4 linked regions of the Drosophila melanogaster genome follow. The gene in region 2 interacts genetically with the main gene of each other region. Each region holds a gene or a part of one and is shown on either strand. Other genes may lie near its edges.

The links.
Region 1: of Crtc (region 2) and Sik2, changing one suppresses a phenotype caused by changing the other (phenotypic suppression), as found in Drosophila melanogaster (one study listed by BioGRID).
Region 3: of Crtc (region 2) and CrebB, changing one suppresses a phenotype caused by changing the other (phenotypic suppression), as found in Drosophila melanogaster (one study listed by BioGRID).
Region 4: of Crtc (region 2) and Akt, changing one enhances a phenotype caused by changing the other (phenotypic enhancement), as found in Drosophila melanogaster (one study listed by BioGRID).

What each region holds. Positions count from the first base shown.
Region 1 is NC_004354.4:2,055,664-2,064,593, forward strand, and holds the start of Sik2 (Salt-inducible kinase 2), read right to left. Parts: upstream 6,253-8,930; 5' UTR 5,959-6,252; intron 5,182-5,958; 5' UTR 5,051-5,181; coding exon 4,436-5,050; intron 4,366-4,435; coding exon 4,302-4,365; intron 4,099-4,301; coding exon 3,812-4,098; intron 3,756-3,811; coding exon 2,658-3,755; intron 2,603-2,657; coding exon 2,321-2,602; intron 2,261-2,320; coding exon 2,166-2,260; intron 2,105-2,165; coding exon 457-2,104; exon of another isoform or gene 448-456; intron 394-447; exon of another isoform or gene 363-393; coding exon 255-362; 3' UTR 1-254. Other genes in the region: CG4281 (uncharacterized protein), read right to left, coding at 7,072-7,228, 7,284-8,825, 8,884-8,930.
Region 2 is NT_037436.4:17,665,616-17,671,105, forward strand, and holds the start of Crtc (CREB-regulated transcription coactivator), read right to left. Parts: upstream 3,620-5,490; 5' UTR 2,492-3,619; intron 1-2,491.
Region 3 is NC_004354.4:18,368,509-18,377,184, reverse strand, and holds CrebB (Cyclic-AMP response element binding protein B), read right to left. Parts: upstream 6,202-8,676; 5' UTR 6,003-6,201; exon of another isoform or gene 5,579-6,002; intron 5,155-5,578; 5' UTR 5,053-5,154; coding exon 4,753-5,052; intron 4,152-4,752; coding exon 3,972-4,151; intron 3,899-3,971; coding exon 3,730-3,898; coding exon of another isoform or gene 3,488-3,729; exon of another isoform or gene 3,089-3,487; intron 1,937-3,088; coding exon 1,799-1,936; intron 1,343-1,798; coding exon 1,134-1,342; 3' UTR 368-1,133; downstream 1-367. UniProt on the Drosophila melanogaster protein: Isoform E is a PKA-dependent transcriptional activator. Isoform J is a direct antagonist of activation by isoform E in cell culture.
Region 4 is NT_033777.3:16,096,666-16,105,589, forward strand, and holds the start of Akt (Akt kinase), read left to right. Parts: upstream 1-2,562; 5' UTR 2,563-2,995; intron 2,996-4,094; exon of another isoform or gene 4,095-4,114; intron 4,115-4,234; 5' UTR 4,235-4,278; coding exon of another isoform or gene 4,279-4,521; coding exon 4,522-5,061; intron 5,062-5,129; coding exon 5,130-5,327; intron 5,328-5,392; coding exon 5,393-5,782; intron 5,783-5,845; coding exon 5,846-6,079; intron 6,080-6,147; coding exon 6,148-6,294; intron 6,295-6,365; coding exon 6,366-6,449; 3' UTR 6,450-8,924. Other genes in the region: Mhcl (myosin heavy chain-like), read right to left, coding at 1-408, 471-923. UniProt on the Drosophila melanogaster protein: Serine/threonine kinase involved in various developmental processes. During early embryogenesis, acts as a survival protein. During mid-embryogenesis, phosphorylates and activates trh, a transcription factor required for tracheal cell fate determination.

The sequences.
Region 1 (8,930 bases), on a different chromosome or scaffold from region 2:
GATTCCGATTCCGACCCGCATTCATATCTATATAGGCTATTTATATGTATGTATGGGTGTATATCGTATATGGATCAAATAATTCATAATTGCGATTGCGAGCTTAATAAAAAGGTGGCCCCGGTCCCGGTCCAGCCCCCATTATAGTTCGATGTCCAGTCCTACCCCTTTTCCTTTCCCACCGACTTCCACTTACAAATCTACTCCCATTCGAATTGCCCCAACCCCTCCACCGAATAACATCACACACGGCCTCAGACTGACTCAAGGTGCTCCGATATCTCCAGGATGGGGCTCTCGCTGAGCGGCTTTACCAGCGACTGCCAATTGGGCGTGAAAAGGCTGAGCACCGGCGTCGATGTCTGCGGAGGACACAAGGAGAAAACGGATAAGGTTTATATACGAACTTGGGATGCCTGAGAAATCATCTTAATATGCGTTATCTAGCTTACTTACATGATAGTCGGAGTCCAGGCTGTGACCGTGGGGCGTGGTAGGCTTGCACTTGACCGTGGGCGTACCCGGCGCCGTGGACGGTGGAGCTGAGCATGATACCCCAGCAGCTGATCCTCCGGAACCAGCTCCATTAGGCGCCGCACCAGGCACCTGGTCCGATTGGCTGATGTAGGAAGTCTTGAGGTTCATCTGACTGAAGGCATGAGCTCCGGGCATGGTCATGGAGTGCTGAAGCCTAGGAGTTCCGCTCCTGGGCCGATCAAGCAAGGCCAACTCGTACAACTCGTCGGCCAGGTGATGTTCCGGAGCCGGAGCCGGCGGCGGTGGCGGACCCAGGCTGTGGCCAAAGTGGTGATGGTGGTGATGGCTGTGCTGCTGATGGTGGTGATGTCGACCGGCTAGCTGCGCCTCCAGTGCGTACTGCTTCTGGAACAACTGACGCTTCTGCTGAAGCAGGCGGTGCTGCAGTAGCTGCTGCTGCAGCGGTGGCTTTTGCATCGGGGACATGGGCACGGCCATACCCACGCCCAACTGATGGTGCGTGTATAGCCCTGGTGGCGGCGGTGGCGGAGCATAGCATCCATGACCATACATATCCCCACCAGCAGCGGCTTCCAGGAGCAGAGGTGTGGCTTGGTGGCCTGAATGGAACAGCGAATGATGGCCATGGTGATGCTGCGCAGGATGCGCATGATGATGGGGCAAAGTCAGCAGCGGATGATGCTTGCCCGGCAGAGCATAGAATTGACCATTTGGAAATTGACAGAGTTCTTCCAAGCCGTACGCTTGGGGATGAGGATGCGGATGCTGATGCGGATGTTGATGGGCATGTGGGTGTGAATGCCCCACAGCCGCCTCCTGCTGCAGCTGCTGCAGCTGCTGGATCTCCAGCCAACCGTGACGCTTGGCCTGCTCGTAGCGATAACTTCCGTACACACGACTGGTGCCCAGCAAGGAACCAGAGCTAAGCAGGCCCTGGGCCACCAGGCCATCACTCGCCCGTCTTCCTTCGCGAAAGTGTATGGGTGAACGCTTGTCCAGGAACGTGACACCACCGCCATTTGGCGGAGGCGTAGGATTCGGCGTGGGCGTGGAGGCTGAACTCTGAGGAAGGCCCAAGCCCAACGGCAGAGCTCCTGGCATATGGATGCAGGAGTTGTGGCTCCCGTACAGCGATCTTTCCGATGAATGCTCCGATGAGATTCCCGCTGGCGATGCCGAGGCCGGAGTGGGCGTGGCCAGCATCGAACTTGAGCCCATGCACGAGGGTAGACTGCCCTTGCCAGAAGGCAAGGCAAAGTCCAAGCTATCGTAGGGACCGCTGCAATTGCTCTTGGACGAGCCGCGGCTCAGGTTCTGGCTCAGACTTTTGGAGTAGCTACCAGCGCTCCCGGCGAGAACGCCACTGGACGAGCTACTACTGGCATACGAGCGCATCTTGTGACTCTGTCCAGAGGTAGTGGTTCCAACGAGCCGCGTCAGATCGCTGCTGGAGTGCGAGGTGGGTCCGCCGTTGGCGTTACCGCTACCGCCGCCATTGCTGCCCTTTGACTCCTGGGAAGCAGAGCCCGGATCGTTGCCCTGGTCTGTCTCGCAGCCCTCATCTGTGCTGGAGCTGCCTTGGGCCAGAACTTTCTTCTCCGAGCGGCTGCGGAAACGGAAGAAAACGACATTAGTCAAGAAACTATCGCTGTGACTGCAAGACTCACCTGTCGCCATTCGATTTCGCATCATTCGTTTCCTGGCCGGAGTCACCGCCGCTGCCATTGGTGCTGCCCACGTGCACACGACGCTTAGTCCTTTGCTGGAGAGGAAATGGAATTTGTCAGCTGGAAGCAATTATTAACTCACACGTATCACTCACCTCCACGGGCAGTGGGCTTTCCTGGAGAGTCTGGAAAAGCTTGCTGGCCTCGGCGGACATCTTGTAGCGAAAGCTTTGGCCCAAATTGGCCTTAGAATCGAAGCTGCTCGAGCTGGACATAGTCTTTATTGTCTTGCCGTTAATCTCACCAGGGCAGGGAGCCGATCCCGATTCCGGTCCCGCTGTACTGGATGTGGGTGTGGTAGAGGCGGGCGGAGGAACGCCTCCTACGCTTGATTCCGCCTTTGGCGGATCATCTTTACCCTCAGCCACTGCTGTGGACTGCCGAAAGTATAAGGATAGAAATAACTTGGGATAGAATCAGCCGAAAACTCACCTGCTGCAGCAGCGCACGACAGTCTTCGGTGCTCTGTTTGATGATGAACTCGCTGATGGTCTGATGAAGCTGCTTGGACGCTAGAGGCACACCCACTGCTCCAACGGGTCCTCCTCCAGCCTCCATCATCTCCCTGCACCGCAGGTTGGCCAGCGAGGGGTTGTTGTCGATGCTGAGCGAAATGGCCACCGGTCGATGGCTTCGCGGCGAGCTGGAGCTTAGACTGTGTCGTCCTACCCTCGAGGATGTGGATGAGCAGTTAGAGGGAGCGGGCGACGCGGCTGTCGGCAGCGGGGTGTACCGCATGGGCAGCGGAATGCCGCTGGCATCCACCTCGACGCCTCCTCCATTCAGATACCCAGTCAGGTGGGAGTGGCCCGTCAGAGGCAGTGGCAGTTGCAGTGGGCCATACTTGGCGTAGTATCCGGGACCGGGATCTGGAACTGTGGGTGTCGCGCCGGCGTGGGCGTTACGCTCACTCATGAGTACCGTCTGATGGCGGCTAAGTCTTTTGTGGCACTGATCCTTGGCCAGGATCGAGCTGGTGGATATTGTCTTGGACTGCTGCTGCGATTGTTGCTGCGTCGGTTGGTGGTCATTTCTGGAGCTGTAGATCATCCGACTGGCGGAGGTCGACGAGGCAAGGGCGCTGGCGCCTAAGCCGTTGCTCTGCTCCTTCTTGTGGCTAACTCGATCCTGCAGGAGCAGATATATGGCCGCGACATGGTCGTAAGTGTTCTTCTTAAGACTGGCTCGCGTCTTGTCCGACCCAATGCCGACATACTCGGCCATGATGCGAAGAATGTCCTCGCTGGGTTCCACGGACGTCTGCCGCTCGGCGCCCAGATTGTACTTGGCTATCAGGACGTGCTCCAGCAGCTCGGGGCACATCCAGCGATGGCGTTTGATTTGGTCGATGGTGTACCGCCTTGTGGGCTCCAGTACCAGCATCCGGCGAATGAGGTGCTCGCACTCGGAGCTCATAAAAAACGGAATGCGAAAGCGACCGGAAAGCACCCGATCCCGGAGGCTCTGCAGCGTGGATCCGTCGAAGGGCAGGGCCCCACATACCAGCACATAAAGCACGACGCCCAGTGACTGCAGGAAATTATACATTTTTGGATAAATTGACACGTATACTTCGCACCACTTACCCAAATATCAATCTCTGGACCCGTATATTGCTTTCCCTCGAAAACCTCGGGAGCTGCGTACGGCGGTGATCCGCACCAGGTGGCCAGTAATTCTCCCGGCTTGAAGTGATTGGAGAACCCGAAATCCGCTATTTTGATGTTCATGTTCAAATCCAGGAGCAGGTTCTCCGCCTTGAGATCCCGATGCACTATGCCCTTCTTGTGACAGTACTCCACCGCCGATATGATCTGCCAGAACTTAAAGCGCGCCGCCGACTCGGACATCCGCCCGTACTTGGCAATGTAATCTGGATAAAATATAAAGGTAAGTCCATCTCATTGAAACCCTTATCAACTTAAGAGAATGCGAGAGATTTAAAGCTAGTGTTGTTCGTCCAAAGGTCAACAAGTCTGTGCGCAATGTGGGTTCAAAAGTCTGCTAACTAAATCGAGTACTGTACTCTACAGTCCGAGTTTAAAAAATTTTTTTTAAAATGAAGCCTCAACCCACCGAAGATCTCTCCTTGGCTGGCATACTCCGACACTATGTAGATCATATTCTTGGTCTCCATAACCTGTGGGATTGGTAGAACGGGATTAGGAATACGATTCTTGGCAGGATCTGCCACAGCAAATTCTGCTGACCTGGTAGAGCTTAATGATGTGAGGGTGCTTCAGGCGCTTCATGATCTCCACTTCGCGGTAGACTTTCTGTAGGTTTGTCTGGTCCAGCTGCGACTTGTCAATGATCTTGATAGCCACCTCGTTCTTGGTGATTCGATGCCGGGCCAGCTTGACCACTGCAAAATTTCCCTTGCCAATGGTGCGCTCGATGTCGTAGAAGCCCACGCGCATGGGCTCCTTGAGTTTGAGCAGGTCCTTGCCACTGATACCGCCCGCGCCCACCGCAGAGGATGTGGGACTGGGACCGGGCGTGGAGCCACCCCCGCTGGCAAAGAGCTTCTGGGCGAGCAGTGCATCCTTGCAAGCCACTATTGCGTCTATCGAGGGCGAAGCAGCACCGGCATCCAGGAGCACTGAGCTCCGGAGGGCATCCAGTGGGGGGTGTGAACACGCTCCTTCTGCTCCTTTTGCTTCGGTTTTCCCGTTTTGGGGCAAATTCTCCGGCGGCTTATCCAGCTGCTTCTCGTTCCTCTCATGCTGCGGCTGCTTCTTCTTCTGATCCTCCGGCGGCTGGCTCTCCTCGGACTTGGCCTGGCTCCCATTCTCGCCAGCGGCCGCCGCCTCGCACGTGCTCATTTTCCAACTGCGCCACCCTGGGCGGGAAATCTCACACGGAGAGCGCGAGGCGGAGGGAGTGGGAGATCGCGATCGACAGCGAGATGGTGATGCACATGCTCACACACACCTCCTGTCTCATGACAGCGCTTCTGCGGGAATAGAAAAAGTAGAGTGGTATATTTTGGGTAGAATTACAATACAATAATGAACTGAAACTTTTTGAATGGATGTGCGACTAATGTTGTGTGTTCCCCATGTACATATATGTGCATAGAAAATATGTAAGTGCAATAAAGAACGGGATGACTCCGGAGAAGGGGTGGGCAGTCGTCGCTTGATAAGAGATTACCTCGGCTTTCCGAGTGTGTATGTGTATGGCTTTCGGACGCGGACTCCACAAGCCACCAAAGCTGCACTCTCCCTCTCTTTCTCAGGCAGTGTTGCCACAGTTCAATTGCAATGGTAAACTGGATTCACGTTTAAATTTAATCTATCACGATAATAATAGTGTTATTTCACTCGCATATCGCATATGCGCACCAGGTACAGACAAATATTTTAAAAACCATTAGCTGAGGTCCTCAAAGACATGCAGATCCATTTGTTAGTGCCCACCAAAAGGAAGACATTCAACGAAAATGGCTGACGCTGCACTTCCGCTTTCAAAATGGCTTTTTTTCCAGCCACAAAATGGCCGAGGTGCCAGCACTGACTGTGTGTGCGGCTGAAAGTGTGTGGGTGCCAGCGTGCGAGTGTATGTGTGTGGGTGAGTGTTGGTGAAAAATCAATAAGCAGAGCAACCGCATCGCATCGTGGAAATGCTCCGCGGTGCCAGTGGCCACTGTTGTTTCCTTCAGGATGCAGTGCAACCGATTCAGAACCACTGCCAGGAGATTTCCCCTTAAAGCTGCTCTCCCCAAAAATACCGTTATTGGTGAAAGCGTTAAAAGCACAAGCCTCGCCGGTTGACAAAGAAGTTTCGAGCAGGAGCGGTGGCAAAAACTGAGAATAGGCTACAGGCTGGGCCAGCTTAATCCGAATCCGGTTACTGGCTATGAGAGGATAAACGCTGGCGAGGATCCGCTTTACATCGCGTCCGCGGAGCGCCACACATGCGGCTCGGAACAGCACAGCACGGCACACACAGACACAGTCGCTGCGACACACACGGCAGATGGCTAGGAAACGTGGCTGCCTCCAATCCCGAGCTGCGTCCAACTGGCGTCCGTATTTGACGCAAGCTCGGCGCTGTCTGCCCCATTCCACCCACTCGCCCCTCAATTTCCGACCCTCACCAGCACACACATGAGGGTTGCCAAGTGAGCGCCAAGTGCCGAGCATCGAGCATGCGCCAACTTTTTCGCGAGGGTGGGAAGTTTGATGGAATTCATTTGAATTTCGCGCCCTTTGATCGTAAAACAGTATGCAATATAACCCGTTTCACCGATTCAGCTTTCAGATAGACAGTGACCGGTACAACTAACAGAAAGAGTTTGAACTATTTTCAAATTTTTTTCAGATATACTCAGATATACTTTTGCTACTGATTTGTATTGGGATGTTGCTCTTTTATATAAAATATCCACCACATTCTAGGTAAAAATGAAGTCCACATGTATTCCGGATATGACCACACATATATATTTCTTATATTCATATTCGCTGAAGGTCTTACATTAAATATTTTGTACAGTGGAACGGCTGCCGACGGCTTTCGGTCGGTCCTCTCTCTCTGTCTCTGAAACGTGTCATCTCGCTCGCTTCCAAGCGTGAGCCCAAACCGACGGGATCTGGGATCCGGTATCCGTCTTGCTGGCGCCATTCCCTAACGAAGTCAGTTAGTATATACACGGACCGATGCAACTTATGTACATGGAACAGATTTCACAAAAACAAGCTAAAAGCATTCATAGATTAAGGGTTTCTTCCACCCTAGAAATGCAAGCGTATGCCAAGAGTTTCACCTCGAGTGCTGATGGCTGTACGTTTGCATTTGCTAGGGATTGGTCTTGTTTGGATTATAGTGTTGCTTTCTGGGGCTAAATCTGGCCGGGATCTTGCTGAAGCGGCTGCTGCTGCTCTCCTTCCTCCTCTCCCTCCTCACCGTAGCAGCGCCGCTTAAAATCGCCAAAGAGATCTGCACGCGGCTGCAGACCTTGTTGAAGATGATCCATGCTCACCGTCTGCGTAGTGTTCCTGGAAGAGCAACAACTTAGTTATAGACTTTGAATAAGTATCCCTTTATCCTTACCCGGTTTTGGTGAGCACTGTACATCCGTGCTCTACCACCATGGTAAGTGAATAGAGCGTGGCCAGATTACTCATGCTATCGGTCTCATAAAGCTCTATATCCGGCAAACGGATCTGTGTCTGTTGCGAATCCTGCAAAAATCGGGCGATGCGCTCATTGACGCTCATCTTGATGCTGAATCCTGGACGCTCGCCATTGATGCGGCGACACCCTGCTCGTATCTCACGTACTTCCTGTCCCTGGGCGTGTCCAGGAGGCGACGAGGAAAGAAACGGATTAGAGGTTTCGCCGGACATCTCACTCTCGATTTGGCGGGAAGCCGGCATGGTGCCATCTGCATTTGTTTCCATCTCTGAGCAGGCATTCTGAATCTCGATAGGCTCGGAGACGCCGGCTGGTTGGAAGCGGGAAAGATCCTGAAGAGATTCTGGAAGTTGGACTGGAGACTTCGAAGGCGGTTCCATACCCACCGCTCCCGCTTCGGTGCCAGACATAAGAGTGTCATCTTCTCCAATTGTGTCATCCGAGCGAATTTGAGGCAGTAGTGATTTTTTTGTAAGCTTCCTTTTTGGATCGTATCTGGCTCCGGGTCCGAATTCGTTTCCCGGCCAGTCGGTGAGTTCATCGTCGCCCTCGCGATCGGTGTCGTGCCGTCGATGACCACCTACTTCCGCCTCGCTATCGGTGGACGAGCTCAGGGAACTAGAGCTTAAGAAGTCATAAAGTTCGCTACAATCCATTGACTGAGCTTGGAGCTGCAGCTGAGGCTGTGGAAACGTTTGGAAGCGGCGGCGACGTTCCGTTTTGGATGAGCTACTGCTGCTGTGTCCCGGCGCCTGCCCCTGCGCCTTTTTGCGCAGCAGCGGAGCAGCTGGTGGCGTACTCAATAACAAGGCATCAATATCGGTCACAGGCACAATGGTGTCCATGCTGATGGAGTTAAAATTGGCGGTCGTAAAATCAGCACTTGGCAAAGGTAGCTTCTGGACCGCGTCCTTTTGATCGGGCAGCTCCTCCATCTCCAGGCTCACTCCTTCGGGTCCTTCAGAACGATGACATTTCAAGTCCTTGTCCTTTGTCTCAGTCTTTTGGGTGTGCTTAGTCTGCTGTCCCTGGGCAGCCATTCGGTTGATCTTCGACAGCAGTCCCTTGTTCAGTGGAAGCAGGCGGTCACTGAGTGGCTTCGATGTGGAGGAGTAGCTGCGGGGGCGCATCCTCTGCTGCTGGTGCTGTGGTTGCTCTACGTGCTGGTCATCTACTTGTGAGTGTGGCAAGGCGTACAGCTTAACCGAATCCTGCTCATGGTAGCGATCACGGTTTGAGCGCTTGCGTTTGCCGCAGAAGAACAAATGCGAGCGATGTCCAGTGGCGTCAATTTTCAACAATCGCTTGCGTATGGTTCCAGTAGCAGAACCGCTGCTACTTAGCAGGCTGGGCTGCAGTGGCGATTCGGTGAAGGTGTGTGATGTATCCTTGCTGAACTCGAACTCCATGGACATCCGTTTGATCTTGCGTTTCCTTCGCGAGTTGGGCTTGTAGAATCTGTGGGTGTGTCAACGATAAGGTTGGGGACCACCATGAGGAGCATTAACCATTTTACCTGGCTGGACTGAAGGTGGTCTCGTTAAGCGAGTCGGACTCCAGGGC
Region 2 (5,490 bases):
AACAACAAGTTTTTATAGTTCTTTGAAAGCGACTGTTTGGGTTTGGGTATAGTCTTTGGCTCCACGAATGGAATGGGGGCATTTATCGGGGGACGGGCCGACTTTCGTCGCCACCTGCAGCTGCATTATGCAAATGTCGCGAATTGCGTAGCAAACGAAATAATCTTTCTCTTTCTTTTTTGCTTTTTTTTTCAATAATTTATTCCGGTTCCGCGGCAGTGCAAAGTTGAAGCTCGCAAGAGCGTTGTTGTTTTGCTTTTTATATGCGCTCACAACTGAAGGGCATTTTTAAAAACAACTTTTAGCCACGTTTTCCCAATATCCGATATGATGCTCAGATTATGCTCCACATATTTGTAGATTCGTTTAGAGTTTAGACTAAACTGAAACCATAAACCAGTTTCGCAGCTTTTGTCATCTTTTCGATGAGTTCCGATCAATTATGATGATGATACTACTCGCGAACTGGTGACCAATAACAGCTCAAAAAACAATCTCAGCGAGCTAAAAACAAAAGTTACTCCTTATCATTCGGAGAGAATCAAAACGTATTTACAGATATTTTATCGAAAAGTATTTGTTGCCAAGCAGATTGTAAATATACTTAGTTAAGAAACAGCCAAATTGAATTTAATGGAATGACAACATATTTATAAAATAAGGATTACAGAGATTTTAACTTTATCGAATTGAATTGAATTGCTCATAATTGCGGGAAATATTTTTGAATGTCACTGGCATTACTCACTACCACATTGATTGCTATAAAAGCTGGGAAATTTAGTACTTTCTCAAGACATTCCCAACTGCTCAAGTATTACTTATTAACTCCTACCCTTCTTCAAAACCTCATTAGTTTCCACCATTAGCTAATTTAACCTTATCGATTTCTCTTTTAGGCGGAGAAAAGAATGGCTCAATTAAATCGATTGAGGTAATTCCTTATTGAGAAACCATACCTTAGCTGTATCCAATGCATAACTTTTAACGCAGATTTCTCTTTAATTCTAATTTATCATTTTGATTTGTTTGCCCGGGGATTCTTGGAACTAACGTTTGAGTTAAAATATTTTGCAAAGAAAATACTCAAGTGTTGGTTGGTTGTTGTCGACGTGTTAATTCCAGCTAAATGCTTACTCATTTTATATATCGTAACTTCATATTTATTTTATGTGCGAAAACTTCGCTTAGTGATATACTCAGAAAGTTTAGTCTTTTACTTTACTTTAAGGCAAATCGTTAAATTATTTGCGAAATAAACATATTGAGTAATCATGTTATTTCTTGAAAACTTGTGACTTGAAAGGCGTTTAGAACGTCTGAAAAGTTCAGAATCAGCTATTCAAGTTGTATATGTATCCTTGTACGGATAAAAATGTACCCATAGTTTGCTTATCAATATCCAAATGAGATACCCCCATTCTCATTCAAATGAGTCCCACTTCGTGACCATCTCTATATCTCTGTAGAACCCTATGCGATGACTAATCCAAGCAGATATCGGAAGTGTAAGGCCCATTATGGCTAAAACGCGATGCAGGAGCAAAGAGATTTAAATGCGGCTCACACTTTTGGACGAGCCGGCAATTGCGGCCATAAAAAGGCCGAGCACGCCTCAAACTAAACAAAGGTAGATATTACTTTACTTTTTGGGAGGGACTGGACTTTTTTTTAGGGGGTAGGCAATCAAAGGGAGGGGTGCTGTTGGGCAAAGCGGAAATATTCCCACGAATCGATAATGACATTTAATAATTATTTAATATATTGCGGCCGATAAAAATGGTGGTCATTTACCACAGGAAAAAACAGCTGTATATTTAATCGATAAGAACAGATAAACAAATACTATAATTTGTAAAGTCACATTTATTCATGTTGAATACAAATGAATTATAATTTTGTTAATTTTTTGATAAGAACAGATAAACAATACTATACTTTGTAAAGCCCCACTTATTCACGTTGAATACAAATTAATTATAATTTTGTTAATTTACGAACATAAAACTTTAAAAATAATGGTATTTAATGAAATATATCTTTGGCTTGTTAAGCACAATTAAAGGTCTCAAAATAAAATGTTATAATTTTATGGAATTATTATTATATTGGTCAGCATATTTCGAAACAAAAAGTAAGTTATTTTTTCTTTCCGTGCCAATTTTTGAGTGTGAATGGCCCATTTGTTCTCTCGTTGTTCCTTCTTCTCCCCACTTATCCTTCCATATCTCTCTCCCATTATCATTCTCCCCTCGACACGGGGAGACACTCCTGGGAAACCCTTATCAGCAGTTTTTTTTATAGCCACTCGCGTTCCTTGGAATTTTTGAATAATTTCGATGTTTGTTTATTTATCGCGCGGCGCAACCGCAACAGTTGAAAAGAAAACTAAGAGGGAGGGGGAAAGCGATTTGCAGAAACGTGTGTGAAGCAAAGAGGCGGCAAAAACAAAACGAACTGCAAAGAGGGGGCGGGCGAGGGCGTAACTTACATTCTCTCTCGTTCGCCGCTAACTCCGATTGGATCTCTTGCTCTCTCTGTCGCTCTTGTGCTATGCAAATTGGATTCTTGCTTGATTAAAATCTCATATAGAAGAATTAAGTTTTTGGCGCTTTTTATTTGTTGTTATTGTTATGACCTTTTGCGTTATTTTTTTGTGTTTTTTGCGTCGCTTAATAAAACCAGATTTGATTTTGAGTTGTTTGCGAGCCGAGAGTTGTTAAATCCAAAAATCGGTTTGCTGGGGGATTATTTTAACAACTGATTGTTTTTTTTGTGTTATTTCTACTCGCTCTTACACACACACACACAGCCGCACGCGCACGCACACTTCGAGAGGTTTATTGTTTTAACGCAAAACTGCGACGTTGTTTTTTTTTTATTTTGCGCTCTCAGCTGGTTGGCACTTTTTGCGCTATTTTTTTGGTTACCGCATGAAAAGTGAAAAACTTTCGTTGCGCCTTTGACCTCTTTTCACACAGACACACGCACACACACACTGCTAGGCGGACGAGTGTGCCTCTAATTGGGTGTCCAATTGGGATTACAGCACGCAGCAAAAGCGGCGGCGTCGGCCGATTCTATATTGCATTTCCTTGATTTCTATATATTCTTTGCCCCGATTTTTTGGCTTTTGTTTTTCGCACACCAATGGAAAAGCTCACCAACACACGGACACACGCGCGCACACACACTGACACGCGGGACTGTGGATTTTTGCGGGCAACGGGACTTCTACTGTTGTGCACACTCACTCCGCAGCAATCTCGTATTCTTATTTTCGTTTATTTCGCGTTTTTTATGCCCCTATTTTGCTCTGCTGCACTCTCTCACTCGCACAGAGAACAACTTATTATTGCTGCTGCTGCTGCCTTGCTTCTTCTTCTTCGCTCATCTTCGTCGCTGTGATGGCTCTTCACTTTTTCGCTTTGTTCTGTGGTTTTTCCGCTTTTCCTCGCACGCCGTTTTAATCGCGTGTTAGTCGTGCACTTGTACAGCAATTGCGCGTCGCCTTTTTCAACGTTTTTTCCACGTTTGTTTTGTTATTTTTCCACTTTTTCTCATATTTTCCTCTGCTTCTTCGATATCAGGAGGTGTATTGGTATGAACCTATCGGGGCCATCGTTCTCCGATACTAGGAAGATATCGGCTATCGAGTTTGAAATTGGCAGCCATGCAGTGTGGCCAGAATTTGGTTGAGACAAAATACATTGCTGAACAGCGAACAGGTGATGTGTGGGAATTTCCACCAGATATTTAAAGCCAGGGCTGTCATTTCTACTTTATTTAAATGCACGTATATGATATTCAAGTCATTTTTTAAGTGCATCATATTAAATAAAAAATACAGCTAAGAGCGTAACAACTAATCAAAGTTTACTTTTTACTGATGAAAGATAAAGTGGGCTAAACCAATATGATATGTAACATAAGTTAATTATCAATTGTCAGTATTAATCAGATTACTGCATTTGTATGTAAGGTATATATATTTACAGAATAAACAGAACGTTTGTTTTTTTAAAGGGAAATATATTTTTGAAAATATTATATCTTGGGTTTCGATGTTAATCGCCGTGCAATCGGTTCGAGTCCTCACTTTTAGTCGCTTGGTAAGGTGTCTTGTCATTTAGTCCAATATATGGTATGGTGTCTCCGCTAATTTAGATTCGCAACGGAATTTTAAAAATAAATATTGATTTGATATAATTAAATAGTAATTATATAATTTACATTTATTATATGTGTTGTATTCCATGGAAATAAATAACTTACATTAAAAAGGCATACACAAATTTTATTATTAATATGCTGTCTCAAACTCTCCGTTTTGTTGACTTTGACAAAGCAAATTGTGTGGTTGCATTAGTTATTCTGCAAGCGTAATTAATGTATATTAAATTCAAAAGTTCTTAATCCATCATATTAAATGAGCGGAGCAATCATATAAAATGAAATGCAATTTAATATGCCCATTAGAAGCTAAGATAAATCATCAAAAATGATTTGGATTTCGTTTTTGGGCGCTTAAATTGCATCAACCAACACATTCAAATGGGCTTTTGCGTTCGCGTGTGTGCGTGCGGGTGTCTGTTGTGTGTGTGTGTAAACGTCTGTTTCCCTTTCCGTTAACATTTTGTGTCTGGTTTCCGGCATTTTGTGTGCGCCATTTAAAATTGTTTTCCACGATACGAATCTGCCAAACGCTCTCTTTTTCTCTTTCGTTCCCGCGAATGGAGAAAATTTTTCTTCTCGCAGACACTTGAAGCAGGAATTGGTAGCAAATTGGCGGCCTCGGGGTTACGAAGACATTTAAGGGCCGACAAGGAAATGGAGAAATAAAAATGAGGGCCAAGAATAAGGCCGAGAAGTTGGAAGAAGTAGGAGGTACTAGGTAAATTGTGTGCAAGCGATAGAAATCTCTCAGAACATTTCCTGTTTTTTTTCTTTCATTCCTATTCAAAATATTTGCCCCTTTTTTGCCTTTTTCCTTGTTCCTTAAACTTCTCTGTTACCATTCGTTTCGTGCATTTATTCCAAATTCTTTCATAAATATTTGCGCCCTTTGTGCGCTTAATTCATTCATCAAACTGTCAAATGAATGTCAAAACTAATAGAGCGCCCACTAGCCCACTTCCTCCCATAAAAAACAGCCACGAAAAGGTGCTCAATTATTGAAATGAATTAGTGGGCGCCAGTGGGTGGGCTTAAGCCGATTTCTCCTCTGCCTTTACTAGGGCTTTTTGTCCAAACATTTTCCTACAGCACGTTTTATGGCATAAAGAGTGGGTAAGCTCTTCCAATGAGCTTGGACACTTAATTGAAGTTAATTTCGATTTAGGGGTTCTCAGGAACAATTCGAAGCATTGGATTCGAGGAAATAATATATTGGTAGTCATATTTTATTTAATTAAAGTGTATACGATATAGATATGAAATGAAATATAATATGAGGAAACCATCATAATAGGTAGCTTAAATTCAAATTTT
Region 3 (8,676 bases), on a different chromosome or scaffold from region 2:
GTCCGTCCCTTCGTCTCTTTTCTACCATTTCATAACAACAACTGAGTCGATCACAAGAGATAACGAGAGTGTTTGCCATCTATATATATATATATATATATATATAAATAGATATATAGATATAGATATATAAATCTGTAGCCACGCGTGTGTTCCGGCCAAGATCGTTCCCTTTCGATTCCGAACTGGATTCACGGTAGCGTGCAGAATTGTCTGCTTAACCAGGTTCTTTGGGAGCGGAGAGGGTTCGTTTAAAATTACGTAACAAAGTGTTTGAATATTTAACTCCATGCCCAAATCCCAGACAATCAATTCATCCATTCGATTTAAGACTAATTCTACAGATACACATTGGCCGGCACACACGCATATATACATACTACACGCACACGCATATGTAAATCAAGTGAAACTAGCGACTTTTGAACAATTTTAATTTGGTAGGCCCAGAAAACCCATCTAGAAAGGACTCTGGTGGATTGGGCAACCTGCTGGTTGACTATATCCTGACATATGGGCACACAACAACAATTCGCTAAGAAAAAACACTTTCGCTAGACACGCACGTTCTGCTGCATCGATTACGAATTAGGTAAAACAAAAAATTTAATTACAATAGGTAAGGTAAGGTAAGGTAAGGTGTGCATGCGGGGGGGTGTGGTGAAAGGTCTTAGGTTACGGAAACACATGTTCGTAGGTAAACTGCAGTATCGTTAAGTTAGCGAGTAAACTAGGGCATAAACTAAATCGTAAACATAATATTACATCTTTAAATTACAAACATAATTACATTGTGTGTCCGGCAGATAGACCCTCTGTCCCTTCCATCCGGTTCGGTTCGATTAGGTTTGGTCCGGTTCGGCCCGTCTGCATCCCAACAACAACAACAACACGATCCCCACAGTTAATGTACACGCTACCACATGCAGCATCCCATGCGTATAGAAATCATGATATGCGACCGGCCAGCGGCAAGGATCGATCCACCATTGTTGTCCAGAACAGAACGGAATAGAACAGAGCGGAGCGAAGCGCAGTGATCGCCGTAACCGTAACCGTAACCGTTGCCGTAGCCGTAACCGTAGCCGTAACTGGAGGCGGAGGCGCAGGCGGCGCCAGAGCCCCGCCCACATTCAATCGTTCTTGGTCTGACAGTAGAGCTCCTTGAGCGACTTCAGCTCCTCGATGAGCGCTTTGTTTTGGTTCTCTAGCACCGCCACTCGATTCTCCAGGCACTTGATGTACTCCTTCTTCTTGCGCCGGCACTCACGCGCCGCCTCCCTGTTCTTCTGCAGCCGGATCTCGCGCTTACGGGTCTGATCCTCCGCTATCCCGCTGTTGTCTGCAAAAGGAAAAAGTTTTCAAGGATTGGATAATCAGTCATTCAGCTGGCTGTAAGCGATGTGTGTGTGCACATCTCCCAAAGCGGAACTCTCTGTAACTCGAACTGAACTGGATTTCATAGTCATTGATGGTTTGGATTTGGTTTCACTTCGATGTCAACACAAATTGCATGCAAAAATGATTGAACACACCATCCATGTTCAACTAAACAATTTGAATAAAAACGAAAATAATGCCAGCATGGAATGGAGCATTATCAAAGTTATCAATTACAATCATTTGAGTCCATATGCTGCAGTTAGGCGATGAAGCAGTTCCATGGACGCTGATTCATCGCCTACATTCAGCTCGATAACTCGATAACTTCAATTTGATAGACCCTCGATTCCAGTTCGATTTACGAGTGGTCCTGCCAAGTCGCAACTAAAGGCTAGTTTTGGAGCGAGGCTATTACTGGTGTTGTAGGACATCCGATTGGACAGGTAGTACGTGGGATCCAATTGCATCAGGGAGCTGTTCGCCGCATTGCCCCCCGCTCCGGTCCCCGCCAGCTGGGAATTGAGCACGCCGTCGGACATGGGAAGCGATGCGCCTGGGATGGGGTTCGATTCGATTTGATTCGAGTTCGATTCCGATTCGAGTTCGGTTTGGGGTTTTGATTGTCGTTTGTTGTTGTTGTTGTTGCAGTTGTTGTTCAGAACATTATCGAATTTTATATATCGTTTTTTTATTTTTGTGGGTTGGGTGGAGGAAGGCGTTCGAAAAGAAAACAATGAAAAAAAAACAACAATAAAAAAATTATAAGAAAACATATTTTCCATTTTTCAGTTTTCAATTGGAAGCTTTTGAAAATTCGGATTGGTTTTTTTTTGTTGGTTGGTTTATGAACTTGAGTGGTGTGTGCGAGCGAGAACGGCGAGCGAGCGAGCGAGATAGGTAGATTGGTTAGTCAAAGAGAGTGGAGAAAAGCTTTTGATTAACGGTTAAAGTACTGTTAGGTGAGACGTTTGCTTGTACTTCTTCATTACTATTTAATATTTGGCATAATGGGTTGTGTGTGTAACAACGGCAACAACAACAACAACAGCGATTACAGCAACAACAACGACAGAGAGGCGGCGAAAGAGAGAGAGAGGGGAGGGCGATAGAGAGAGAGATAGAGAATTGTGGGCAAGAAGACAGCAGCAATAGTTCAAATGCTTAAATTATTGTAAATATTAATCATTATTCTTGCTGTCTTCCCTCCCTGTCTATGTACATATGTGTGAGTGTGTGTGTGAGTTGGTGAAGTTGTGCGCGAGTGTGTGTGTGTGCGAGTGAGAGGTTTATTTACAGGGGAGAATTGGAAAATCGTGGAATCTCTACAACGCGTCCTCTTTTTCTGCTCCTTCTCGGGCCAAGTTTTCCGGCCTTTTGTTTTTCTTTCATTATTTTCACTTCGTTAAAGCAACACCAACAACAACATCAACTAAATGATAATGGGGGTGGTGGAAAGGGGCGGGGTTCCCGCTTGTACGGCTGCCCTAAATGGCATTCCTAATGATGTACAAAGGACAAGGCTGGCAGTCCTTCACAATCTATGTGTTGTATGTACAAATACAGTTGAGATCCAAACAAAAACACAATGTTAGCTAACTGGGTTCCATTAGTTTCTACCTCTTTCCTCTGTTTCATTATATTTTTAAGAAACTATGTAAGAAAATAAACAACCCTCTATTCTGTTCTGGTTGAAAATAATAGTTTCAAATGGAAAGCTTCGGAAATGTATATTTAATGCTTTTTTTTTATTCTGTCCACATTTTCGTTACTTTTTAGCTGGGCAAGGTTTTGGCTAGAGAATCTTATTGCACTAGGAGAACCATATATTGCTTTATAAACAATAGCAACGTAATGAATGTTGCAAATGTTTTCCTTTTGTATATTTACAATATAGATTTCATAAGGATCCAGTGAGCAACTTGGACCTTAGACTTTTCTGATAAAATTGTAAATGCACTTTTTGTGGCAAGAGTATAATTTTACAGTACATTCCTCTCGTCTAATCATTTCGATATGGATCATTTGCTAAAGCGCACTACAACGAGTGTTAACAGTGTTACTTAGCCAACAGCTACTGTACAAGATGAACGGGAAAGGTGATCGATCATGGGGTTACAAACACTGAGAATGGAATGGTGTCTGATGGACTGACCGATTCCCCAGCGTTATGAGAGTTGCTGGGAATGGTCGAAAGATTGCCAGGCGCAAGTGCATCGTGAAATGAACGATGAGTGGCGATCAGCTCGACGATGCATTGGATTGTTAGGCGATGTGGTGGTTTAAAGAGCGACAGAGATGTGTTCGAGTGGGTGTGTGACTGGTGGAGAGATCGTCCCCCGGATTTACCGCTCATGTCCGGACCGCTGATCTCGGTGAAGATCTTATTGTACGACGGCCGTCGCGTCAGCTCGCTGCGGTGGTGCTGGGAATCGTCGTCCGACAGACTCTCGTCGCTGTCCTCCGGGTGCTGCGTGTTCGGTTCGGGCTTGATCTTACACGGAAAGGTTGGAGGGATCTGTGTGCGAGGTGATCGAGTTCATTAGTAGAGTTCGGTTCGGCGGGTGCTCCGTGCTCCCCGTTCTACGCACTTTGTTACGCACTTGCACTGCATTGCCAGGCGTCGTGTGGATGACCGTCGAGTTCGGCGGCTTGGCCACGTAGACCACCTTCTGCATCGCTGTGGCGGCGGCCAGCGCCTGTTGCTGCTGCTGGGTTCCAGCTGCTGTCTGTATGACTCCCGAGGGATTGGCCTGTATCACGGACTGCACCTGCGGATATAGAAGGTCACTACATTAGAAACGCTCGCGGTCAGGGTTATTGGCCTCAACGGGACTGACATAGTAAGTTTTGTAGGCTGTAGTGTAACTAACAAACACCGCAAATTCTCGATATTCTAATGAATAAAATTAAAAGTCCTGTGAATGTGTAAGTGTAGTCGACATCCTAATAACAGCTATATGGTCTATATCAATTTTTGTGAAGCTTAACTATAAAGATTTATTATATGTATTATGTAGTCCATATAGTCATACCCCATTTAATATATACATTGGTAAACGAAATCGATTTTAGGGATGTAGAATAAGAAACGTATTGAAATGATTGAAAAATGATGGATGCATAATCTATGCAGTAAACTTTATAAAACTTTATAATAAACAGTATTGTACTTGTTTGTTTGCTATTAGTTAAAGAACACTAAGCTGCCTTATTTCCGGTAATAACTATCCCTATCTACACTCAGTTCCCATACCAAAGGAGGCTTTGAAGTGCTTCTGCACTAACATCCTTGGTAGCCACTTCTGGCTGGGATCCGTAACACCTGACACTCGACAGTTGACACCAAGCACCCGGTCCCCAAATGCTCACCTGCAGTCCGTGCTGCGCCAGCGTCTGGATGGGGTATTGTATGTTGCAGTTGGCGGTGGTGGTCAGCACGGAGGACACTCCGCCTCCCTGGGCGTTGTTCGTCGCACCCGTTGGACCGCCGGCCGTTGTACTTTGTGGGTTCTGTTGCTGCTGCTGGGGGTTACCACCGCCGCCGCCTCCTCCTCCTCCACCGCCGCCGCCCACCGCTGCCGCCGCCTGTTGGGCAACGACATCGACCACGTCATTGGAGCCCGATGCCGCCGACGAGTTGCCGTTCTCCTCGACGATGCTGTTGTCCATGTTGCCGATCCTGGCGATCTTCAGCAGCACCGAGACGCTCTCCGACAAGTGCTTCAGTTTGGCTACCGTTTCCGCTTCAATTTGGCCAGCTTGAAGACGTTTCTACAATTGGATTGGATTGGATTGCTTTTGGATTACGCTGTCAGTTTTACGGTTTATCAATTTGTCATCCAGTTTGTGATACCGATTCAGATCGGAATCCGTTTCAGTTTAAGTTTCAATTTCTGTTTCTGGGCGGGATTGGCATGGGCTCGTTTTTGTTTTGGGCCGATGACGAGTGTGCGTTGTGATGACGATGATTATATTGTGGCTGTGGTGCCGATTGCTGACTGATGGAACTCAAGTTCCCCCAAAGGAAAACAACAACAACAGCAACAATAACAACAACACCGAGTCGTGAGTATTTCGGTTGAATGACGTCATGACAACGTTGCGCGCGCTTGTGTGCGTGTGCGTTTGTGTGTGTGCCAAGAGGCAACAAAAAAAACAGAAAAACACACAGCACACAGCGAAAAAATCAACTTACTTTCTGATGACATCACTAAAAACGTTGCTGCTGAGAGGCTTTTGTTGTTGTTGCCGTTGCTCACTCTCTCTCTCTCTCACTCCTTCCTGGGCGCGTGTGTGTGTGTGTACGCGCGTTGCACGCTGCGCTGGCAACTTGTTGAAAAGTCGCGGTGTCCAACCAAATAAATATTTATGTATAAAGCAGCAGAGTAAGCGAATCGAAGTTCGAACCCTAAAACTTCAGATACGTTTCGAATGGCATCGCGCAAAGGTTTCGTATTTGTTTGCTCTTTTTGGGAGAACCCCACAGAACACACACGCACACTTAAGCACAGCAGCGAATTGGTGCGACAAGTTGGCAGCACGCACACACACAACACTCTCTCGCTCTCTCTCTCTCCCGTTCTCGCTCGCTCTCACTGCCTGTTGTTATCGTTGCTTACGTTCTTTTTTCTATTTGCAGCACCGAAACGCGTTTCTTTTGGCGGCAAAGACGCTGGCTTGGCGGCTTTCGAACGACAATGTACGCGTTTTCCACGGCAATGCGATCGTGCGCAGCGATTTATTGATAAAGACCGTTTTTGCGCAAAAATCGTTCGCTTATTGCTGGCTCGCTCGCCTAGTGATGTAAAATAACATCGATGCATCCAACAGCGATGTTTTGGGGCGATGTGTTTCGATGTTTTGCTTGATATCGATGTCACACATCGGCTGTTTCACAGAAAACTGCTCGATAAAGTGTGACCCTGGCTGCGGAATGAGCAACAAGCTACAGCAACAATAAGGCTCCACACTACCACACCGGTTGAAACCTTGGCTAAGCTCGTGGTGCGGAGCTTGGCTATAACTGCGGGAACTTTTAAAACTTCATTTTGTTATGGTTTTTTTTTTAAGTTTTTAATACTTAGATGAAGGTTGTAAATCAATTTTCCTCGGTTTTATTTATTCATCTACAAGTATGTAAATTATTTCAACTTCATATCTCTATTTTCCATTTGTAACCGAAATTAATTCCAAGTCCATTGTTGGCCGTTTAATGAATCACTAATTGTATTGTTATTCTATTAATTCAACAAAAAGAGGTGTTCAGTAGCACTAAAAACTAACAATTAGCAATCGCAAAATAATTACTTTTTCATAATAGTTTATAGAACCGCAGATTTTAGCGCGCCTAAAAACTAGAAACTTTGGTCACAGAAAAAAATTGTTGCTCTTTTTTTTATTTCGCTACCACTAAAAACAGCCTGCTCACATAAGTGCAAAAAACAATTAGCCTAAATGATGTTCGCGGCTAATTACTTTACAGCCGAATAACTATTGGCTACATGAGCTGGCCATGACGTCATCGCGAGAAAACTAGCCGGAAAGTTTGAGGCGTAAAAACCTTAAAGCCTTAAAAACAGACTCGAGATTATTTGAAGCCTGCAACGGGCTCTCAATAAATAGTTAATTAGTGCAATGACTGTGCCCCCGTTTACTTTCCCTCTGTGAATTATAATTTCCAATTCCATTTGCATTATTTAGGCTGCTTTTTCAATCGACTTCCCTTTGAGTGACATAATAATTGCCATTAATTACGACGTCGCACGAACCCTCAAACGCCTCCAAGCCCCTTCGCCACCCACCACCCATCACCCAGCACCCACCTCACCCCTCCCCCTTGTGGACCCCAAATGCCGGACTGTCTGAACCACCGACCTCGTGGACTGACTCACTGTCCAAATCCGCATTACCTCCGCGCGCCAGCTGACATCACTGGCTAATGAAGTTTGCCCGGTGGCCGCAGAAAGGAATTGCAAATGCGGTTCCCATATTACACTTCTAATACACTTATATACATATATACATACATATGTACATATGTACATACATATGTACTGAGTACACCTGCGGTCAGCACAATAGCCGTTGAGAGCCCGACCATAAATTGGCTGAAATATGCGGCTTGTGTTTTGGCTGTTAAAACGGACTTGCATACCAAAATACACACCGCCTACACAGAAAGAAATTAAGATCGATTTCCATTTGAAGTTTTGCTTGTACTACGGTCAATTCAATTCAATTCAATTCAATTCAAAATGTATCACAATAATTTAAACCCAACTTTAAAATTTCATATATTAATTCAAACTATAAACACCATAACCAAAGCTGTTAATTTTAAGTTATTATTGCTTCATCAATAAAAATAGTTTTTCAAGTTATTAATTTTAAAATAATAATAAGCAAAAAAAGGGCAATTTGCCTAACTATAGTTAAGGTAATAAAGAATGTCGTTTCTATTAACTTTATCTTGCGTGAATAGTTGCTTAAATATTAATATTTGGCAAACCGCTTTTTCTTGCTCTTGAGATAAAATCAGAAATCTAAACAAGAAACGGTTAAAAAAAACTTAAAAAATTCCCCAATAAAAAGTTAGAATAGAATTTCGATATACTGAGAAACCAATAAAAACACCTTCATTTGCGAAGCTATAAACATATAAATATCGCTCATACGACAGGTTGGCTGTAACGCGTTTGCTTGCAAGCCAAAAGTGCACGAGTGTAACGAGATAATGATTGTCGAAACTATTATCCTTCAAAGGATGAGGGTGCTTAAGCTGCGGTGTTGTTTCATTACAAATAGTTGTTGCTTTTCGACATTAGCAGAAAGCTCAGCGTTGTTGCTGTTGCATTTCAATCAATTCCAATCAGTTTGCATTTTGCATTTTGCTTTTGGCATTCGATTTGCTCTGGCCGCACCCCGATCGCCGCCCCATTCACCCCCTCCCCCCTGTTTTTGCACTGTGTATTGGCGTACGCAAAATTGACGTCAGCATTATTTATTTTTACTCGTTTCCACTGCGCTGGTGTTTGAATCTGAATCTGAATGTGAATGTGAACGTGAATCTGAGTCTGTATTTGTGTTTGTGCTGGCTTTGCCTTCTGCGAACGTGTTGGTGAATCTCTGCCGCCTTTAAGAACCCCCCAAACACCCCCCACTTCGCCCTGAGGCACCTCTTTCTTTCTAACGCTGTTTGCTTGGCTGAATTAATTAAAACTTAAATGAATGTGCAATACGAAAAAAAGGTGAAGAAAAGAGCCACAACAGTTATTGCTTGTCATGAACAAGCCA
Region 4 (8,924 bases), on a different chromosome or scaffold from region 2:
GGTATCTGTGAGACTGTCGGCGCTGGGCGACGGCGAGGTGAGCACATGGAGGTGCGATCCTTGACTGTTGCCCTGGGGTAAAGCTCCATAGCGGGCGTTGGCCGGCAGGGTCATGGCCCGTTGTTGACCTCCTGTCTGCTCTCCATCGCTGCGCAGGCTCTCCACGGAAGTGAACGAGGTTCCATGCTGACTGGAGTTCGAGCCGATCGAACCAGCTCCCCTGGCAGCTCCCTCGTAAAGGGATTCATTCTGAAAGGTGTTGCGCAATAGCATCTCTGGCGTGCCACCTGCTCCTCCGGCACTACCCGCAAAGCTAATCTCCTCGTGGACATTGGTCATATTACTGCGGGAGCCTTTCAGAATGCCACGCTTGGGTGGTTTTGGGGGTATAGGTGGAAGAAAGCGATTCTGGAATGTGGAAGCAAAGTTTTTCAATACGATTTCGGATAAGAAAACGACAAAGACCTCACCTTGAGCCCTCCAGAGAGGAGAGAATGTGTGACCTCGCTGTAGTTGACACTCACGCCGGCGCCATTGGACGCTCGGCTCTCGATGTGCGTCATCACAGATGCTACAATCTCCTCATTGCCACGATCCTGCTCGGGATCTGCAGCTCCCACTGCTCCTCCGTTGCTTCCGCCGTTTGCATCTGCATTGAGGGCGGCAAAGAAGTCTGCGCTATAGTCCGCCGTAATTCCGCTCGGCAACTTTTCCTTCTCCTTGCGTCGCCCTCGGATTTTAAGCGATCGGCGCACCTCGTCCAGGCGGAGCAGCTCGTCGGTGCTCATGCTGCCGGTGACGCCAGTCACGCCTCCCATTCCCGGGCCACCAGAGGTGCCCTTAGCCTCTTTGCGCAGTTTTTTTTCGCGCTTGCGACGCTCCTTGTCCTCATCCCCAGCGCTCTTCTTCATAAAGTTGAACATCTTATGTGGTGTGTGGGGTCCTTAGGTGCTAGCTGCGGAAGGGGGGCGTTGGTGGGTTAATGCGAAGTTCAAGGGCGTGACCAAAAGTCTGGACTAATTCGATTTGCACTGTTCTCTTTGCTGCGCTCTATCCAGGGGTGGATCTAGACAAACGTGCAGGGCATACCGTTCATTTCCAAACTTGAAATTACAACTTACATTTTTAAAATCAGTAACACAATTTTAATTCACTGAATAGTTTAAAGTACGGTATTTATGTGATTTGATTTTACAAAAACATTTAAGGTGCCCATAATCCACGTTTAAGGTCCCCTGGATTTCGCCCCTGTACTGCTCAGTCCTGTTCTCTTCGTATTGCTATCTCGCTCTTACAATTGCACAGCCACTTCGAGCAATGCACCCGCCCGCACAACAACCGTTATCTTGCCACGGTGTTTGTGTGAATGTGCACATTTGCAAATCACATAAACAATGGCATATTTCTTCACTTTTGCACCCACATTTCTTCTGCTGCGGTGGCGGCTTTACTTTTGTCATTGAGTCGTTGCCATTTGCCCTGTTTCTGTTATTATTTATTATTCAATTATGCGCTTTCTTTTCCACAGCTAGCATACATTTGTTTTGTTTTCACACGGTAACACACACACACACAAAGAAAGGGGGGCTCGTGGCTGCGTTGGTATTGATTGCTCGAGACTGCACTCTTCCCTTCTCTCTACACCATCTCTTCATATTTTTCATTTCTCCAACTAATTGAATGCAACCGATTCTGCCTCATTACTTATGCTCATGCTTTTCCAATTGCTCATATTCGGCGAACGCTCTTATTCGGCCACAGCCCACAGTGATACACACGATAGGCAGAAAAAGAAAGTTGAGAGTCAATAACACCTTTGTTTTTGCACTTTTCTACGCCTTTTTTGATAACACACACAAACATTGGGAGGGACTCACGCACACACAGTCGCGCTGGAGTCGTTATTTGTTTATTTGAAAGTGGCATGCTATGTTCTCCCTTCCGATTGGGTTGCAAGTTATTTACCTCGTTTTGTGCCAATGGGGCACTTTATTCGCTACTCGTTTTTTGTTTTTTTTTCGGATTCAAAGGAGACTTCGCGTTCTGCATAAACAAATCTGAGCAAGAGTGCCCAAAGAGGTGAATATCAAATTTGATCTGGGAAACTGGAAAAGAGAACTGACTTTTTCTAGCTACTTACACATGGTCATACTTATCAGAGTATCTACTTAGTGCGGACAGGAACCATATATAAAATTGATAGGGCTTCCAAATTTTTGATCAATTATGCTTTGAAAAGTTATAACAATTTGTCGATATAAGAAATAGTTTTGTATACATAGCATATAAAATAAAGTTTTTAAAAATGAATTTAATAACAATACAGCATTATTATTAATCTGCAGTTCATACATTCAAATTTGAAGTGAATTCTAGTTAAAGAGTCGGCCTAGACAGTCAGAAAACAGAACTATTGCCTTCTAAAACATTTAATTTAAATTTAAGGGATATTTGCGCGTTGTACAGCTCTTAAATAATGTCTCTCTCTGGCATCTTTCCACCGTAACAGTCGCCTAACTATCGCTAAAACAGGTGGCAACGCGGATCGAATCAGTTATCGAGCCAGTTATCGAAAAAAAGTGAAGCGTAAAAACTAAACGGTACTTGGAAAATTTACTTTGCCTGTGTGCGTGCTTCTGTTTATGAAAACTACGTTTTTAAGCATTTGCAATTGATGCAACGTTGCTTTGGAAGGCAAGAAAACACCAAGTGGAAACGCCCGGGTGGCGGAAATCGACTTCCAGTGCGCGAGTGCGAGATTGTGTGTGTTTCGTTCCGTCCTCTGGTGTCTGGCACCTTAACACAACAACAACTACAGCAGCAGCAGCAACAACAACAATAGCAAGCAGCAACAACAACACACGCACAATAATAAGAAGGCCTGTGACGTTGTCGCTGCCGTCACCATCTAAAGGAAAATACCAAAACGAGTAGGAAAACAAACCGCAGTGCAGTAGGGAAAGCAAAAGTCGGGTTTTTTTTTTTACAAAACTAGGTGGGTTCTTGTATTTTTCACCAGCATTTCCACAATTTCCATTTCCACGAAGTGATTTGACATGTTGCGCTGCTAGGTCGCCGCTGCCCACACACACTCGCACACTCGGTGGTTCACTCACTCAGCCACTCACACCCACACGGCCAGACAATCACACGCACACGGCCAGACACTCACACATACACTCACACTCATACACCTTTGTGGCAGACACGCGTACTGTCTGTCTCCCTCCCCCTCGCACCCACAGTCTGGCCTCACTCGCACTTTGCAATGCAGCCCTGTCTGTGTGACTGCCTCGGTGTGCGAGCGCCTGTCCGCTTATGCCTGTGTGTGTATTTTGTCGATTTTTATTTTATGTACATTTGTTTACAGTTTTAGATAGATAGCGACATTTGTACAGCCGGCGGCCATCCGTCGTTGACATTTTCGCAAATTGTAAATGAATATGCTTTTGCTTTTGCAGTTGTGCCAGTGTGAGTGCGAGTACGAGTGCGAGTGCCGCCTGCGAGTCCCCTGTATGTGTACATATGTATATGTATGTATTATATATGCATATACATAAGTTCATGAACAGTCGCCGCCGTCGACTTGTTTTGATTTAATTTCGCGCTAAATGCAATCGCGAACAATTTTCACTCGTATCGCCGTGTCGCTGCGTAACATGGCGGGGAATTTCGTTTGAAGCCGAAAGTGGCAGCAACAACAAGGCGACGATGGCGCCTACATCTGCATGTGGGCCAGTGACTAAGAATCCAATCCCATACCATGCCACACCATACCAACCCATCCAATTCGATACAATCAGAATCACAGTCCTCAATCCAATTCAATCCCTTTCTGGCGACGGAAATGCCGCAAATGTTTTGCACCAGCTGCTGACGCAAGCGCCAACTGCATTTGTCATAAACATGCAAAATGACAATAACAATTGTTTACTATCAGCGTGAGATAGGCGATGTGGGAAGTATATATCTGGATAGACTTGGCAGCCTTTTAGTGTCTGTTTCCCCTTTTTTGATAGCTAGCTCATTTGGGAACTCCATTTGTCCACTTTGACTAGTTTATGTCGACAGTTGGCGGATCAGTTAATATCTAGTACATGTTGAATCCCTGAAGGTAAAGGTGTTACTAGACGAACCCTCTGCTAAAGCCTTTTTCTTTTCGTCGATCGCATTCTTAGTTTAAGTATTTCAAACTCAGCATGAATATAAAGGATTCACTGTACTCCTCTTACAGGTCCCTCATTAGCTTGTCCCTAGGGTTAGTGAAACAGCCTCAACACGAATTACCTACCGTTTGTTCTTCAGCGGCGATCGACTGTGGTTGCCAGCGCCCCAGCGCCAGGATCTGCCTCTAGGATCCCGGAATCGCCCACCACCACAGGGAGCAACATCATTAACATCATCTACAGCCAATCCACCCATCCAAACAGCAGCCCCACCAGCGGCAGTGCAGAGAAATTCAGCTGGCAGCAATCCTGGCCAAGCAGGACCTCCGCGGCCCCTACACACGATTCCGGAACCATGTCAATAAACACAACTTTCGACCTCAGCTCGCCCAGCGTTACATCGGGTCATGCGCTTACGGAACAGACTCAGGTCGTAAAGGAGGGGTGGCTGATGAAGAGGGGCGAGCACATAAAGAACTGGCGCCAGCGCTACTTCGTGCTCCACTCCGATGGAAGACTGATGGGTTACCGCAGCAAGCCGGCAGATAGTGCCAGCACGCCATCGGACTTCCTGCTCAACAACTTTACGGTGCGCGGCTGCCAGATCATGACCGTCGATCGGCCCAAGCCATTCACCTTCATCATCCGCGGCCTGCAATGGACCACGGTAATCGAAAGGACATTTGCCGTCGAATCAGAATTAGAGCGCCAGCAGTGGACGGAGGCCATTCGCAACGTATCCAGCCGGCTCATAGATGTGGGTGAGGTGGCTATGACGCCATCTGAACAGACAGACATGACAGACGTGGACATGGCCACCATTGCCGAGGACGAGCTTTCCGAGCAGTTCTCCGTACAGGGAACGACTTGTAATAGCAGCGGCGTTAAGAAAGTGGTAAGTACCACTCACCTGGTCATTGACCAAGGGCGTGATCGAGCTGACTCCATCTTATCTCCTTGTAGACTTTGGAGAATTTTGAGTTCCTCAAGGTGCTCGGCAAGGGCACCTTTGGTAAGGTTATTTTGTGTCGCGAGAAGGCTACCGCCAAGCTGTACGCGATCAAAATTCTTAAAAAGGAAGTTATTATCCAAAAGGACGAGGTGGCCCATACCCTGACCGAGAGTCGTGTGCTCAAGTCCACAAATCATCCGTTCCTCATTGTAAGTATTGCTAGTAATATATAATTTACGTTAAAAAACTAATATATGTCTTCCCTGTTTTGCAGTCACTCAAATATTCGTTTCAAACCAACGACCGCCTGTGTTTTGTGATGCAGTACGTGAACGGTGGCGAGCTCTTTTGGCATTTAAGCCACGAACGCATATTTACTGAGGATCGAACACGTTTCTATGGGGCAGAGATCATTTCTGCTCTGGGCTATCTGCATTCACAGGGCATAATTTATCGCGACTTAAAGCTGGAAAATCTTTTGCTGGACAAAGATGGTCACATAAAGGTCGCAGACTTCGGTCTGTGCAAGGAGGACATCACCTACGGCCGCACAACGAAAACCTTCTGCGGTACACCGGAATACCTAGCTCCGGAAGTATTAGATGACAATGATTATGGCCAAGCGGTGGACTGGTGGGGCACTGGCGTGGTCATGTACGAGATGGTGAGTTTGTTGCATCTGCAAATACTATTAACAAGTATTAAAAACAAAAATAATTCCTTACAGATCTGTGGTCGTCTTCCGTTTTACAATCGTGATCATGATGTGCTCTTTACATTGATTTTGGTGGAGGAGGTAAAATTCCCGCGTAATATCACAGATGAGGCGAAAAATCTGTTAGCAGGCCTTCTAGCTAAGGATCCCAAAAAGCGTTTGGGAGGTGGAAAGGATGATGTCAAGGAGATACAAGCACATCCATTCTTTGCGAGTATTAACTGGACAGATCTAGTGTTGAAAAAAGTAGGGCACAGTAAATCTGTCAGTTACCTATTCGTATATATTAATCGAATTTAAAATGCTTACCGTAGATACCGCCGCCTTTCAAGCCTCAGGTGACATCCGATACGGATACAAGGTACTTCGACAAGGAGTTTACGGGAGAGAGTGTGGAGTTGACGCCGCCGGATCCCACTGGCCCGTTGGGCTCCATAGCCGAAGAGCCGCTTTTCCCGCAGGTAAGATCTAGTTGAAAACATTTAAAGTGGGGTTCTGTATGCTCATCCAATTTTTGGTTTCACCGCCACAGTTCAGCTACCAAGGAGACATGGCCTCCACGTTGGGCACCTCGTCGCACATTAGTACTTCCACAAGTCTCGCATCGATGCAATAGAACAAGTTTACAAACTTTTACCAGCACACATCATGTTCTGCTTCATCACCTATTACTATACTATACCTATAACACATAGAAATGGGCAAAAGAAAACAACAGCAAGAATATATTAAATATTAATTATACCATGATAACGAAGGCAAGCAAAGGGTTTTCTTGCTAGTTTATATACACCAATAATAAGAGAATTGAATTGATAGTAACTTATTTTTGTATAATGAGAAAGGGAACGTTGAACGAAAGGGCAACAGCCGAAGCCGAGGAAAATAATTTACTACATATGATTATACACATATATATAAATATATATATATATATATATATAATTATATATACAACTAAATATAACACTTGGGGCATAGCGCTTGAAGTGATTAGTTAATTTTAAACGCAAGGAAAACATTTAACCAAGCGACTTAGAGCGACTTAGTGCTAGGATAAAGCATGCATCATCGGATCGCATCCTCTAGGGGTCGCTTAAGCTGATTGATTATACAGATTATTCACGCAGACAGCACTCACACAGCCACTTAGCATATAGCGAACATGAAGTTTAGTTAACTTGACAGCAACAAATCGAAATACACATATTCAACAACCGCCCCCACATGCAACACTCGTATATATAAATTATTTATACTCCAAAGAAGCAAAAAAGAAACAGAAACAATTACAAGTTATATATAATGTTAAAATTGCCTCTAATGTGCTGTGCTTTATGCAAAACTACAACAACAGAAACAAACAAACTAATAGTTAATAAACGAGGGAAACATACATCAATGCAGTTTATAGGCGCCAATAATTAGCAAGCAACTAAAAGTTATATTCAGGCAGAAACATATTTCGAAACAATAACGGCAACAGCAAAATGATTACAATTGACGCCATTTTTTATTATAATTTTTTACGAAAAATATATATTTGTAAATATTTATAAAAAAAAAGCAAAAACTCAAGAGTAAATGCAAAAAAAAAACAAAGGATGTATGTGTCGTGTGGAAAATGGAAGTCACCATTTGAGGCCACAGAAAAGGTTTAACCTTTGACACAATAAAAAATGTATCTTTGTCATTTCATTTTTGGCATTGAAAAGTTCATAACAAGTTTTGTATACTTAGAGCAAGTCAGCAAAAAATATATATAAATCAACCACAACAGACTTACAAATAGTTCCAAAAGGAAGATTAAAAATTATATAAACAGAAAAAAAACCTAAAAGAAAATAAAGAATTTTTGATATTTTTATATGCGCAATAAAAACAAAAATCAAGAATAAAACGAAACAAAAAGTTATTTTATATTTCGTAAAGAAAACAAAATAAATATTGTAAATAAAAATTATTAAATAAAATCAAGTTCGGGAATTTCAACTGAAAACAAAGAAATTGAAAGCATAATCTCTCTTCTAAATGTTAAACGAAACCTATCACTCGATGATTACAATAAACAGCAAATCGAAAACGAAGGGATATAGAAACGAAAAGAAAATGCCAAAGAAGCGGCGAAGTTAGGTGGAACTCGAGGAGAACCGAGAATTGAGGAGCCAGCAAGTCGGGATGTTTCGGTTGGAGTCTTGGACATGTGACGATGATGGTTCCAAATCATGACTAGGAACGAACTAACTAGCTAAAGCCAGCCTATGCTGAGGAGAGATATCAGATAGCTCCGATTGAACCAATCTTTATATCCTTGAACAGCTTAAAGTCCTTGCTTTCTGCTCACCAAGTTTGCGGCTGACATCTAGGCTAGCCAATATCAATCTCAGATCGATCAAGCAATACATAGACAAAATATAGAACCCCTAAGCATGGCTTAATAGACATACAACCCGAGAATCGACTTCAACAAGCCCAATAACCCTTCTGACAGACTCGTTAGGCAAGTCTGCCAGCCAAGGGGCAACCAGCTAGAAATCTAAAGCAAAGACTTAGAAATCGGTTAGGGACATCCGAAGCAAATTGAATACTAGCCTTAGTGAACGTCAACATCTCTGGTATCCCAAATCGAAGCATTTTCTACCCGTCGAAGGGGACGAAAGAGACCTTTCAAAATAGTTGTCTAAGTTTACTGAGTTGTGTGAGACAATTTTTGGTTTCGATTAAAAAAAAAAAAACAAAAACTTACACGAACTGCAAACTACAATGTGTTCTAAAGCGATATAATAAAACAACATGGTTTAAAATTGACTATATATAGAAAGAAACCGAGAGAGATATAACCAGTCAGATCATAGATCATCTCGAGCAACTTGAGTTGTTTTTTGTATTGTAAAATAGAAAAAGATAAACCCGTTCCAACAACCGAGATCCAGATCCAGATCCAGCCCCCAATACTAACCGAAAATTTGATTAGGAGTAATTTTTGATAGGCGAAAATGCGAGTTTCGCACAGTTTTAATTATTAATTATATTAAATAAAGATAATAATGACTAAGCTGATTTATAAAACGATTCAAGATCGAACTAAAAC